3 linked regions of the Ovis aries genome follow. The protein of the gene in region 3 interacts with the protein of the main gene of each other region in a biochemical or structural test. Links are inferred from orthologs where the notes say so. Each region holds a gene or a part of one and is shown on either strand. Other genes may lie near its edges. The genes, in order: OIP5, MIS18BP1 and MIS18A.

The links.
Region 1: the proteins of MIS18A (region 3) and OIP5 form a complex in vitro, tested with the Homo sapiens proteins (3 studies listed by BioGRID). The link is inferred for Ovis aries from reciprocal best matches to the Homo sapiens genes MIS18A and OIP5.
Region 2: the proteins of MIS18A (region 3) and MIS18BP1 form a complex in vitro, tested with the Homo sapiens proteins (2 studies listed by BioGRID). The link is inferred for Ovis aries from reciprocal best matches to the Homo sapiens genes MIS18A and MIS18BP1.

What each region holds. Positions count from the first base shown.
Region 1 is NC_056060.1:34,994,505-34,998,689, reverse strand, and holds the start of OIP5 (protein Mis18-beta), read left to right. Parts: upstream 1-1,341; 5' UTR 1,342-1,349; coding exon 1,350-1,671; intron 1,672-1,887; coding exon 1,888-1,954; intron 1,955-4,185. Other genes in the region: NUSAP1 (nucleolar and spindle-associated protein 1), read right to left, coding at 881-973. UniProt on the Homo sapiens protein: Required for recruitment of CENPA to centromeres and normal chromosome segregation during mitosis.
Region 2 is NC_056071.1:52,777,572-52,781,223, reverse strand, and holds part of MIS18BP1 (mis18-binding protein 1), read left to right. Parts: intron 1-1,080; exon of another isoform or gene 1,081-1,430; coding exon of another isoform or gene 1,431-1,443; intron 1,444-2,753; coding exon 2,754-2,873; intron 2,874-3,043; coding exon 3,044-3,510; intron 3,511-3,652. UniProt on the Homo sapiens protein: Required for recruitment of CENPA to centromeres and normal chromosome segregation during mitosis.
Region 3 is NC_056054.1:123,908,549-123,912,200, reverse strand, and holds part of MIS18A (protein Mis18-alpha), read right to left. Parts: intron 3,186-3,652; coding exon 3,063-3,185; intron 1,401-3,062; coding exon of another isoform or gene 1,337-1,400; exon of another isoform or gene 438-1,336; intron 420-437; coding exon 323-419; intron 1-322. UniProt on the Homo sapiens protein: Required for recruitment of CENPA to centromeres and normal chromosome segregation during mitosis.

The sequences.
Region 1 (4,185 bases), on a different chromosome or scaffold from region 3:
AATATTAATACTATAGCTCAAAAATATCTCCAGAGATAGTTCTTTATACTTCAGCCCCAACTGGTACCTGGGTACTGATTATTTTAATTAATTTAACTACTTAAAATATCTGTGAGGACTGATCTAAACATTCACTCAGTTTAAACACTACAGCTTGCAGAATAAATCTCCAGAATATACTTTAATATTATGTGGGAAAACTCCACTAAATATACAGAACAATATATACATCCAATCCAGAATTGAACATTTTCCCCCAAACGTTTCGCAGTATCAGAGTCAAAGACCTCATCGGTTTTGAATAGAACACTACCACAACAATGACCAATAGACGAACGATCCTACTGAATCAGAGCTAACTTAATAAAAACTTATCCACGGGGGAGGTTCCCTAAAAATCATCCTTTCTTCCGTCCTCCATTCAAGTAGCAGGAAATTTTGGGACCTCTTACAATTAACAGAACTGTTAGCTGTTTGGAGTTTTCCAGAAGCAAAGGCAATTTAACAAAAGTGTGAGCTGTTTGGAGTTTTTCGCGACCGCCTATTAATTGGCGTTTAGATGCAGCATTCCTTTAGTTTTCTAAAGGGCCTGCCTTTCCTAACAGATGGACTGATAAATAGCAGAGTACTCCCAATAAAACCAAAGCAAACAATTTTGGAGGCGGGCATCTTTCTGAGTCCCTGTAAGAGTCAGCCTCAACAAAGGTGAAAACTTTGACACCCTCTCGGTTTTGCACAGTTACTTGGACCCTTGGGTAAACCAAAATCTACCGCCCCAAGGCCGGGACAGTCGCCTCAGCCCTCGAAATTCCCGCTCGGTCCCCTCCCACAGCGTCTCAAAGAAGCCGCATATCCTATCCCCCAGTCACCGGCCCCGTACCCTCAGGTTAGCCCGGAGGCCCAGGTTCTTGGCCAAGTTCTGCAGGTCACTGTACTTGAAGGAGTTCAGCTCCTCCAGGGAGGGAACGATCATGGCGAACTGCAATCCAGGTAACGACGCGGAGGCCCGATACTTAACTTGCTAAGGCGCCGCTCAACGCTCTGGCGCCACTCAAAGCGTTGAGCAAACCGGTATTTATAGAGAGTTTAAATTACGTAAGCTGCACTTCCATTGGTTACAAATCCGTTAAAGGCGGGGTCTTCTGGTACTGACCAATAGGATGGTTGACTTCCCTTCCACCTGACCCACGATCTTCTCCACACTGCCCTAACACCTAGGCGCCAAACGGCGTGTCCAGGCAACAAAGTGCGCGGCAGAGCCCCCGTTCACGTTGTCCAATGAGGACGCAGGAGCCAACTTGGGGTGGGGCCTAAATAGTCTTTGAAACGGTGGCGCCGGCTGCGGGAAGATGGCTGCTCGGCCGCGGAGGCATGTTTCTCGGATTGCAAAGCAGCCACGGGGTGACTTCTGTGATGGGACTAAGAAAGCGATTAATGAACCTTCTTTTGCGACTTCCATGGAGTGGGACACGCAGGTGGTGAAAGGGTCTTCGTCGGTCGGCCCCGCAGGGCTGGGGTTGGAGGAGCTGCCGTTCCGCCCGCGGCTGCCGCGATGGCTGCAGCCCGAGAGGTGCGCGGTGTTCCAGTGCGCGCAGTGCCACGCCGTGCTCGCTGACTCTGTGCATCTCGCCTGGGACCTCTCGCGGTCCCTCGGGGCCGTGGTCTTCTCCAGTGAGTGAGCGCGGCGCCTTCTCACTGGGTGACTGAGAGCAGCTGGGAGGAAAGCAGGATGAAAATTTGGAAGGAACTTAACTCCTTTGCTGGGGGGTTGGGGGGGGCGAATAACTTTTTACGATATTCGTGACCATGATGAGCTTTTCTGACTGAGAGAGGTTTTCCCTTTCAGTGCCTCACAGGTAGTCATTCTGACCTGTGTTTGCCTTTTAGGAGTCACAAATAATGTCGTTTTGGAGCCTCAGTTCCAAGTTGGCGTTGAAGGTTCGCTCAAAGGCAGGTACGTACTGAAAATTCCAGAACTGTCTCTAGTTATTCCCTGACTTATTGTGGTTGAAGAGCGTGGAACCGACTTGGACCAGAAGTTTTTTCCTATCTTCCACTAGGAGAAATGTCTGTTTCGTTCATACAGTGTACTTGAAGAATGCTCCGTTTACCTGATTGTCTTGTACGAACTTGATGTTTTAATGAAATGGCAAAGATACTTGTGTAAAGGTTTTAAGATCTTCTGAGGGCCACATTTCCCTCGTGGGTTGTGCAAGTGAAGTGAATTTAAGAAAATTAGGAGGGGAAAAAGGGAGAAAATTACCTTTAAGTGAATCACTTTTTATAAACTGCAATACTTTGACATAATAGGACATATACACTTGCATTACACCTGGAATTTGTAATAAACTACAGCGGGACTAATTCTGCTGTAACCTAGGAACCTGGAGAAAAACACAGGTTGAAAGTTAGGTCCTTGAATACTGCCTGGTGAACTTTGCATCGTATCTGTACTGTGATTTAGAAGTGACAACAAAGTACTCAGTGAATTCAGTACAGAGCTCCTCAATTTTCAGTGTTGATTTTAACAGCAAGACAATTCATTTTGACCATTGGTTGGTCCAGTTTTAGTGTTAAATAGAGTACGTTTAGGAATTCTTAGTTGCTGTACTCAGTAACCAGGAAGACTTCTGTAGCTCCTCTTTCCCAGCTGAAAGATTCCTTATCCTTCCAGGAGTGTCTACACACCCAAAGGAAACTGGGAAAGAGTGGTGGCCTGCTTGGAACTGGTTCATTTGGGGCCCGAGGCAGAAGCTCTTTGAATATCTTCTTAGAGAGAAGTACATCTAGCTAGATCTGTGCTGTCCAGTACTGTCACTTGTCACATGGTGGCTACTGAGCACTAAAAACGGTGGCCATTCTGAACTGAAATATGCTGAGTGCAAAATACACGTAAGATTTTGAAAATAGTCAAAAACATTGAATAATTTAGAAATATTGATTACATGGGTTTTGCTGTTGTTGATGTCGTTTTTTTGTTTGTTTTTGGCCCCACTGTACAGCTTGTGGGGTCTGAATTCCCAGACCAGGGAGCACATCTGGCCAGGGCAGTGAAAGTGCCCAATCTTAACCACTGGACCCCCAGGGAATTCCCTTGATTACATGTTGAAATGATGTCTTTGAATATTGGGTCACATAAAATATATTAAAACTAATTTCACTTGTTACTTTTACCCTTTTTTTTTAAACAAGACTAATAGAAGATATGAAACTACTTACATGGCTTGCATTCTTATAGAAAGTACAGATCTAGATGGCTTTTAAAACACTGGAGAGAAAGTTCGATGTATTTACGTTTTTGAAATAAGGAGAGCCATGGGATTCAGCAAGAAGAGATTTATTGTCAGGAATTGGTTCACTCGATTATGGAGGGTGAGAAGTTCCAAGAGCCATGGTTGACAAGCTGGAGACACAGGAAGGCCAAAGGTTTAGTTCTAGTCCAAGTCCACAGGCCTGAGACCCATGAGCCAAAGGTGCGACTTCCAAAAACACAGTATTGCGTGTGTAGTGTGGGACTTCATCTACCAATAAGTTTAGTGCGTTTGTTCCTTGGTCCTGTTTAGTGTCCATTGACATGAATTTGTTTATTTTTAGCCATGCAGTTATACTTTATTAGTACTGTTTTACTGCATAGTATATTATGTTTATACAAATAATTTTTCCCTCATTGAACCACTCTAAATCGCTTTTAGTACATGCACGACAGTTAATTTTTTCTTACAACATTTCTTTGTAATATTTAGATTTGTCTTATATACTAGCAAATAAGGTCAATCAGTTACTCAAATGGTTTAAATAGAACTAAAACCACATTTCTTTTAGAGGATAAAGGAAAATAAAGTAGATGACTTGCTAGGATCATAAAATTTCTTTCTTTTTCATTTTGTCTGGGAAATTGTTTTTGGTTACATCTGCAAAAAAATCCTGATTTGCATTCTATTAATAAATTGCTTAATAAGCCCTAGTCAACTTGATTGTTTTACTTCAACTGCAAATTGGCTTAATGGTGGCTAATTTATATGGTTATGTGTAGTTTTATATGTTTAAATGTTAATCTGATTAGTTAGCTCTTTTTCTGCTTTTCAGATATAAATTACTTTTGCAAAGTGACAGTTGTGTATCCATGATTGCTTTTGTAGCCAGAATTCACAAAGTTATCTGTAATCCAGTGTTCTTGCCTGGAGA
Region 2 (3,652 bases), on a different chromosome or scaffold from region 3:
GCAGCTGGGGAGCAGGGGATAAATAAGGAGAGGGTCAGATAAAGTGTCTTTTAGGAGGGTCCTATAAGGGCCTCATAGGTAAAATAAGGGTTTGGGTTTTTATTGTGAGCAAATTAAGGAGCCACTAGAGGGTTTTGAGCAGAGGAATGTCGCAGTCTGACTTAAATTTTAAAAGTATCACTCTAGCTGTTAATTTGAAATAGTTATTTTAGTATTCCAGGTGAGAGATGGCATTGGCTTGGTCGGGTGGTAGCAGTGGAGATGATAAAGAGTTGCTGGATTCCAGATAGATTTTGGTTTTGGCAAGGGTGGGGGTTGGGGAGGGGGGTTGTTAATTTGTTTTAATATTTTATTTATTTATTTGGCTGCACAGGGTCTTAATTGTGGCACATGTGATCTTTTAGTTTTGGCATGTGGGATCTAGTTCCCTAAGCAGGGATCAAACCCAGGCCCCCTGCGTTGGGAGTTCATGGAATCTTAGCCACTGGACCACCAAGGAAGTCCCTCCAGATATATGTTGAGATGGGAGTGTGGAATATAAGAGAGGTATAAAGGATGACCTGGGTGATTTGTTTGGTTTGGGTTTTTTTTTTTTGCTCAAGCAACTGGAAGAATGGAGCAGTTTAACTGAGGTGGAGCAGACAGAGGTGGAATAGTTTTGAGGACTCAGTAATTATGTTTCTTGTCATATCAATTTTGATATGTCTGTTAAATACTGAAGTGTAGATGTGAATTAGGCTGTTGAAAAAAATTAGCTGGAATTTAGGGAAGTGGCCTACCTGAGAAATACATTTGGAGTCATTAGCACCTAAATGGTATTTAAAGCTATAAGATTAGATGGGATCATCAAGAAGTAAGTATATTATACTTGAAAAAACTGTGTATGTTGAAATGTTTTCAAAGAAAACGTTTAAGGATAAGTTCTGGGGCACCCTGAAATTTAGAAGTTAGAATAAAGAGCAGAAAGTAGTGAAAGCCACTGAGACGATGAGGAAGAAAAACCAAAACGGTAACTTCAGAAGCCAGTAATTGATAAAAGATACTTTACATGCATTATCTCATTTGCTCCTTTCAGCAAACACTATGGATTTATGCTCATTTAATTGTCTAGGAAATGGAGCTTTTAAATAAATTGACGTCTGCTCTGTGTCAATGGCATTCCACTCCAGTACTCTTGCCTGGAAAATCCCATGGACGGAGGAGCCTGGTAGCCTGCAGTCCATGGGATCGCGAAGAGTTGGACATGACTGAGCGACTTCACTTTCACGTTTCACTTTCATGCATTGGAGAAGGAAATGGCAACCCACTCCAGCGTTCTTGCCTGGAGAATCCCAGGGACAGGGGAGCCGGATGGGCTGCCGTCTATGGGGTCGCACAGAGTCAGACGACTGAAGTGACTTAGCAGCAGCAGCAGCCGTAGCAGCAGCACCATGGGTCTCACAGGTAGTAAGTAAGTGATAAGCTGAGAATTAAATACACATATCTATTAGAAAGCTCATGCTCTTAACTGCTACATAATAGATTGTGGGTATATTGTTGTATTTCAAAGACAGTGATGTATTTTGACACAAAAGTGGTTTTCTAAGGGAGTTTAGGATGGAGGTAGGTGAATATACAAATAATCTCATACAGTCTAAGAGAAAAGGGGGAAGCAAGAGAAATAAGGTACATTATGGCATGTTTTATATGTAAACTGGGATTAGAGAAAGGAAGAAACAACTGACTGCTTTAAGAATCTGCTGACTTCCTAGAAAATACACATATATACAAACACAGATTTTGTATGTAATTTCAGAGATCTTTTGGAGAGTCCCTACATGGATCCCTGAATTGAAATAAATGGCCTGTGTTCTGTACCATGTTGTATATGATTGAATTATCTACTCATCTGTACTACATTGCTCTGCCATTTCTAGTAGAATGATTTAAAGAAATAGAAACTTACCTTATATGACATATCATTATAATAAAATCTTTATATTGAGGTTTGTAAGGCCAAAGCAACATACATATTAAAGTATAATCACTACCAGTTTTTTCAAGTATAATATTTGAAATTAAACATATAAAATAATTCAGTTTTTCCTTCTCTGGTACAAATTTTAAGTTTATTACCTTCCCCTTTTTATGTGAAAGAAACTCATTTCTATATTCAAGATACAGAACTTTAACCATCTAGGATGTAAAGCAGAATAAAATATAAACAATGCAATTAGTTCCTGTTTGTCTAGTGATTAAGCCTACCAAATTTGTGTCTTTGAAGACCTGCTAAAGGGATGTCAAAGCAGTATAAATTATGACTTAGTCTGCTACTGAATCTCAACATTTTGATTTTTAAATCTGTTACAACTGTTCGTCCACATTTTAGAAATTTCCAGAACCAGAAGCAAAATCAGAATTTTCAAGACAGGATGGCGCTTGATATATGACCTTGACATATACATATCTGATTTGTGGCAGCACTAGAATTTTATTCTAGATCTCTAGGTGTCTAAGTCCAGTAGTATACTTGTGTCTAGAGCTGGCAGGTAATGCGGAGAAATTTTTAAAAAATTCTTTCTCAGCATAATACAGGTATAGAGAATGCATTGAAGATATGAGATAATAATAAAGGGCAAAAACTCAATGTAACTGTCATGTATTTAAGTATACTCTGTGGGTCTGATCATTACCAAATTTAAATCTTTATTCCAAGAGTTTTAAAGGCATTTTTTTCTCTTATTGACTAATACAACTTCTTTCTTTAAAAAAAGAAAACTCAACCTCAGTCCAAGAAGTTCCTCTGGAATCATCAAATAATATTTTTGTGCCAGTCAAGCAAAAGATTACATATCAGCAGGAAAAGAAGGTGCCTCTGCACAATTTAACTTATGGTAAAGTGCTTTTTGTTTTGTTTTTAGTTTGTTATTTGAATGTATGGTTAAATGTTCTAGATAATTATTTTCCCTGTATAGGCAATTCAAAGTTTTAAATTTTTCTCTTGTTCTCTTTTCATTTCGTATTAACCATCTGTAAATTTTGTTTGGTTTTGTATTTTTTGCAGAGCTTCCAGTTCTGAATCAAGAACGTAAAAATGTTGCAGCTGCAAACAGGGTACTAACTAGAGCTCAGCTGGCTAGACAAATTCTTCACTCAAAGGAGAATATAGTTGCAACCAATAAATCCCAAAAGGAAACATTTATTTTAGAAGACATTGATTCTACCCGTGAAAAGTCCCCAAATACCACTGTTGAGACTCTTTGTGGTAATAATGTTGAGAATGGTGGTCAATTACTGGTTTCTAGTGATAGTAAGATTACAACAGAAGGCACTTCAAAACAGGAAATTAAGGAAGGAAATGAGAGAACAGTGCACAGAGAGACTGCTTTTCCAGGTTCCTTGAATGATACTTGTAAAATCGTGCTTGCAACTCCGCAATGTCATATAACAATACCTCAGAGATCAAAAATAAATGCCTGGAACCTTTCTCCAAGTATAAGCCAAACTATTACAAATGGAGTTAAAATTAAGGTAGGAAAACTTTTAAGGCAGATAAATACTTGTTTTCACCCTCATTCTTAAAGTGCATAAGCTCTTTTGCTCTCATTAACAGGTTCATTTTGGGTTTTTGTTAATATTTAGTGTAGAGGCAGTGTGGCCTAGTGAAATGAGC
Region 3 (3,652 bases):
AAAAACAAGGCTGTTTTCACCATGAAAATTAAATCAAATACTGATTTAAAGATATATTTCTATTTTAATAGTTTTAGAATACATACTGCTTTGATTTAGCATGGAACGTCTTTATAATTTTTTCCATAAAGTTTTGGCTTAATTTGTAGTTTGGTTCCCAGTAAATCAACTTTACTAACAACTGAAATAAAATAAGCACTCTCTCACCATGAATGCTAAGATCAAAAGAGAAGACACAATTAAGAATTATTCATGGAGCAGCACTTGGTCATTGACTGGAAGTTGTTTATACAAAGATACAAAAAGTGCAGAACAAAATTACCTCCTTTAGAGATTTTTCTATTTCAACTCTACTTTCAAGATTAAAAAGCTCTTTGTCTTCTGACACAATTTGCTTTTCAGATGACCCTAAAACATAACTGAAGTACAGTACAATACAAAGTTAAAATATGAGAAGGGAGTAAATATAAAGTTTATATTGATAACATTAAAACTCAAAGTATATTGAAGTATATATTAGTACCGAGTAAACACATAAAACAATTACTTTTGTTAATAGAAACCTACATAGGAAGCTGAACTACATGAAATCATGTTATTCTCCATAACAGCTTTGTCCAAGAACTCTACATATTTCTCAATGCTATATTTCATTATTGGGAATAAAACTGGCTCTTTAGTAAGCTGGGTGGTACAACAGTAACATTTTGAAGTTTTAAAAGATCCTGAAGAAGCCACTGTTTTATGTAACTTTTCAAGAACATGTGCATTTTCAAGTTTTTGTGTATTTTCAAGTTTTGACTTTTAGTATGTAATCTGTAGCATCAATTGTTGATTACCTAGATTTCGGCAACTTCAACAGTTATTTTATAACTCATGTTTTGCTCTGCTCTCTGAGGTGATGACATGCTGCTGCTGCTGCAAAGTCGCTTCAGTCATGTCTGACTCTGTGAGACCCCACAGACGGCAGCCTACCACGCTCCCCCGTCCCTGGGATTCTCCAGGCACGAACACTGGAGTGGGTTGCCATTTCCTTCTCCAATGCATGAAACTGAAAATGAAAGTGAAGTCGTGAAGTCGTGTCCGACTCTTAGCAACCCCATGGACTGCAGCCCACCAGGCTCCTCCATCCATGGGATTTTCCAGGCAAGAGTCCTGGAGTGGGGTGCCATCACCTTCTCCAGATGACATGCTACAATTTGAAAATATAACTGGCCTAGCAATGGAAGAAAACAAGCCCAGCTCTGGCAACCAAATAAATCTCAACAGTGGAGAAGGTGCTGTTATTTCTCAAGAAAAAAACAAAACATAAAAACCTTCATTCGTTTGTATTTCTTTAGAAGTCTTTCACCACGTGTAACAACTTCAGTACGTCACTTCTGTTAAATATAAACAGTCTTCTGTTGGAAACCCAAGATTAATTGATTAAATTTCTAAAAAATGTCATCAAAGGAAAAATTACAGAAGGCAGTTAATATCTTATTTAGAAAAGAAAAATGAGATGGGGAAAATTAAATGGCACTGATTAATTTATAATGCTGTAAATAAACATTACGGACAGCATCCATTTCTAAAACACACCTGGTTCCCTGTCATTTAAATTCTGCCCTATGAGGTAACTTTTCCTTAAATTCAACTATTGGGGAAAGAACAGCTTCGATACTAGGATCCTCTGTGCAGAAATACAGACATGGATCGTTTTTAAAGTTCTGTGCCAACCATACTTGTTTAAGATTTTATGTCGTTCATACTTGTCCTCTCCCCCACATAATTTCCACAAGTCTTGGTAAAATTCCCATGGAGATTAAGGGAGCAGTTGTTTGGGCATGAGTCTTCTATTTACATATTAAAACCAAATCAGATCTGATCTCTCCCCAGGTGGGCCTGCATGCTTTACATCAATGAGCAGTACTTGCTACATTATTCTCTTGTGTTAAAGGCTGTAAAAAGTTTGCAGATTTCACAATTTTGATCCAAACTTGTCTAGTTTCAAAGATGGTGGTAAAACTGTAGTAATCAAAAAATAATTAAATGAAAAATTATAATAAAAAGAACACTATTCTAAATTTTTTTAAAGAGAAAATCTAAGAAATTCAACAAAGTGACAACATACTTCAAGTAATGAAAGTGTAGGCACTTTTGTCCTTCTTTCTTGATATTTAAGGTTTCCTAGGCATCTCTAAGAAAACCTAACTGGTGGCTCAGCGGTAAGAACCCACCCACCAATGCAGGAGATACGGGTTCGATCCCTGGGTCAGGAAGATCCCCTGGAGAAGGAAATGGCAACCCACTCCAGTATTCTTGCTTGGAGAATCTCATGGACAAAAGAGCCTGGAAGGCTACAGTTTATGAGCTAATAAAGAGTTGGACACGACTGAGCTACTAAACAACAATCTCTAAAGTCTTGAGAGTTACATCATTTCCAGGATAAGTGAAAAGACATTGGGGTCAATTAATTTTGTTTCCAATTTTAAAAGGTTAATGAACTAAAGGGTCAGTAAGATATATGTCATCAGACCCTAATTCACGTTCTCGCCAAACACCTTTTAGAAGTCTTGAAAAATGAAGGTACTTCCTTGCATCTCTCAAAACAGCAGGCAGTTATTTACAGTCCTCTAGGAAATAGCTGGACTTTGCATTTCTACTTTTCCAGAACAAAGGGACTTCTTTCCCAACCATTTCTGAAATTCCTATTTTTTCAAGTTATTATACTAGACTAAAAACTAGAGGAAAAAATAAAATGGACAAAATATATTGATACACATAATTGCTTTAAAAAAAATCCTACTAAACTAAATTTAATTAAGAAAAACAGCAAATTTTTACTCTACAAAATGTTCTCACAGGGCTTTCTTTTACAATTTAGCATAACAGACTTTTCCAATAGCAAATAAATCAGGTCCAAACAACAACAAAAATCACTTGCTTTAGGGTCAGAAATTATTATTTAAAAACATATTTTAACCAAACAATGTTTAGTCTCCAAATTTTCATACCAATTTGTCTGCAAACAACTTTCTGAGAATTCAGCGATGAGCTATTCATGTATGCCTCAAACATACCTTTCAATGGCTTCAACACTAAGGCAGAACATGTCCCTCTTGTAGTCTAGATCCTTGGGTGTGCACCTGTACAGGTAGCCGAGGCTGAGCGAACAACCTGTGCAGTACAAAGTCTGCAGGATGCTGCAACAAGAAACGTCGCCCTTTAGTGACTGGTTACCACAAACACCCCGTTGTTGAGATCTGTAAACACCTAAACGTTTAAGTTGCTGAAGTATGTTACCCTGACCCTACTAGGTCCTATGTATAAAAAGGAAAAAAAAAAAGATAGTAAGATGCTTACATTTGAAAGCACTTCCAGGTCACACTGCCTTCAGTATCCAGTGACAGACAGCATGCACACAAGTGACAAAGCAGAGAGTATGCTGGATTTCCTTGGTGGTACAATGGATAAGAATCCACCTGCCAATGCAGGGGACAAGGGTTCGATCCCTAGCCCAGGAAGATTCCACATGCCGTGGAGCAACTAAGCCTGTGCTAAAGCCCGAGCTCCTAGGGCCCATGCTCCACAACAAGCCACCGCAATGAGAAGCTCGAACACCGCCAGCTACAGAGCAGTCCCAGCTCGCCAGAACTAGAGAAAGCCCATG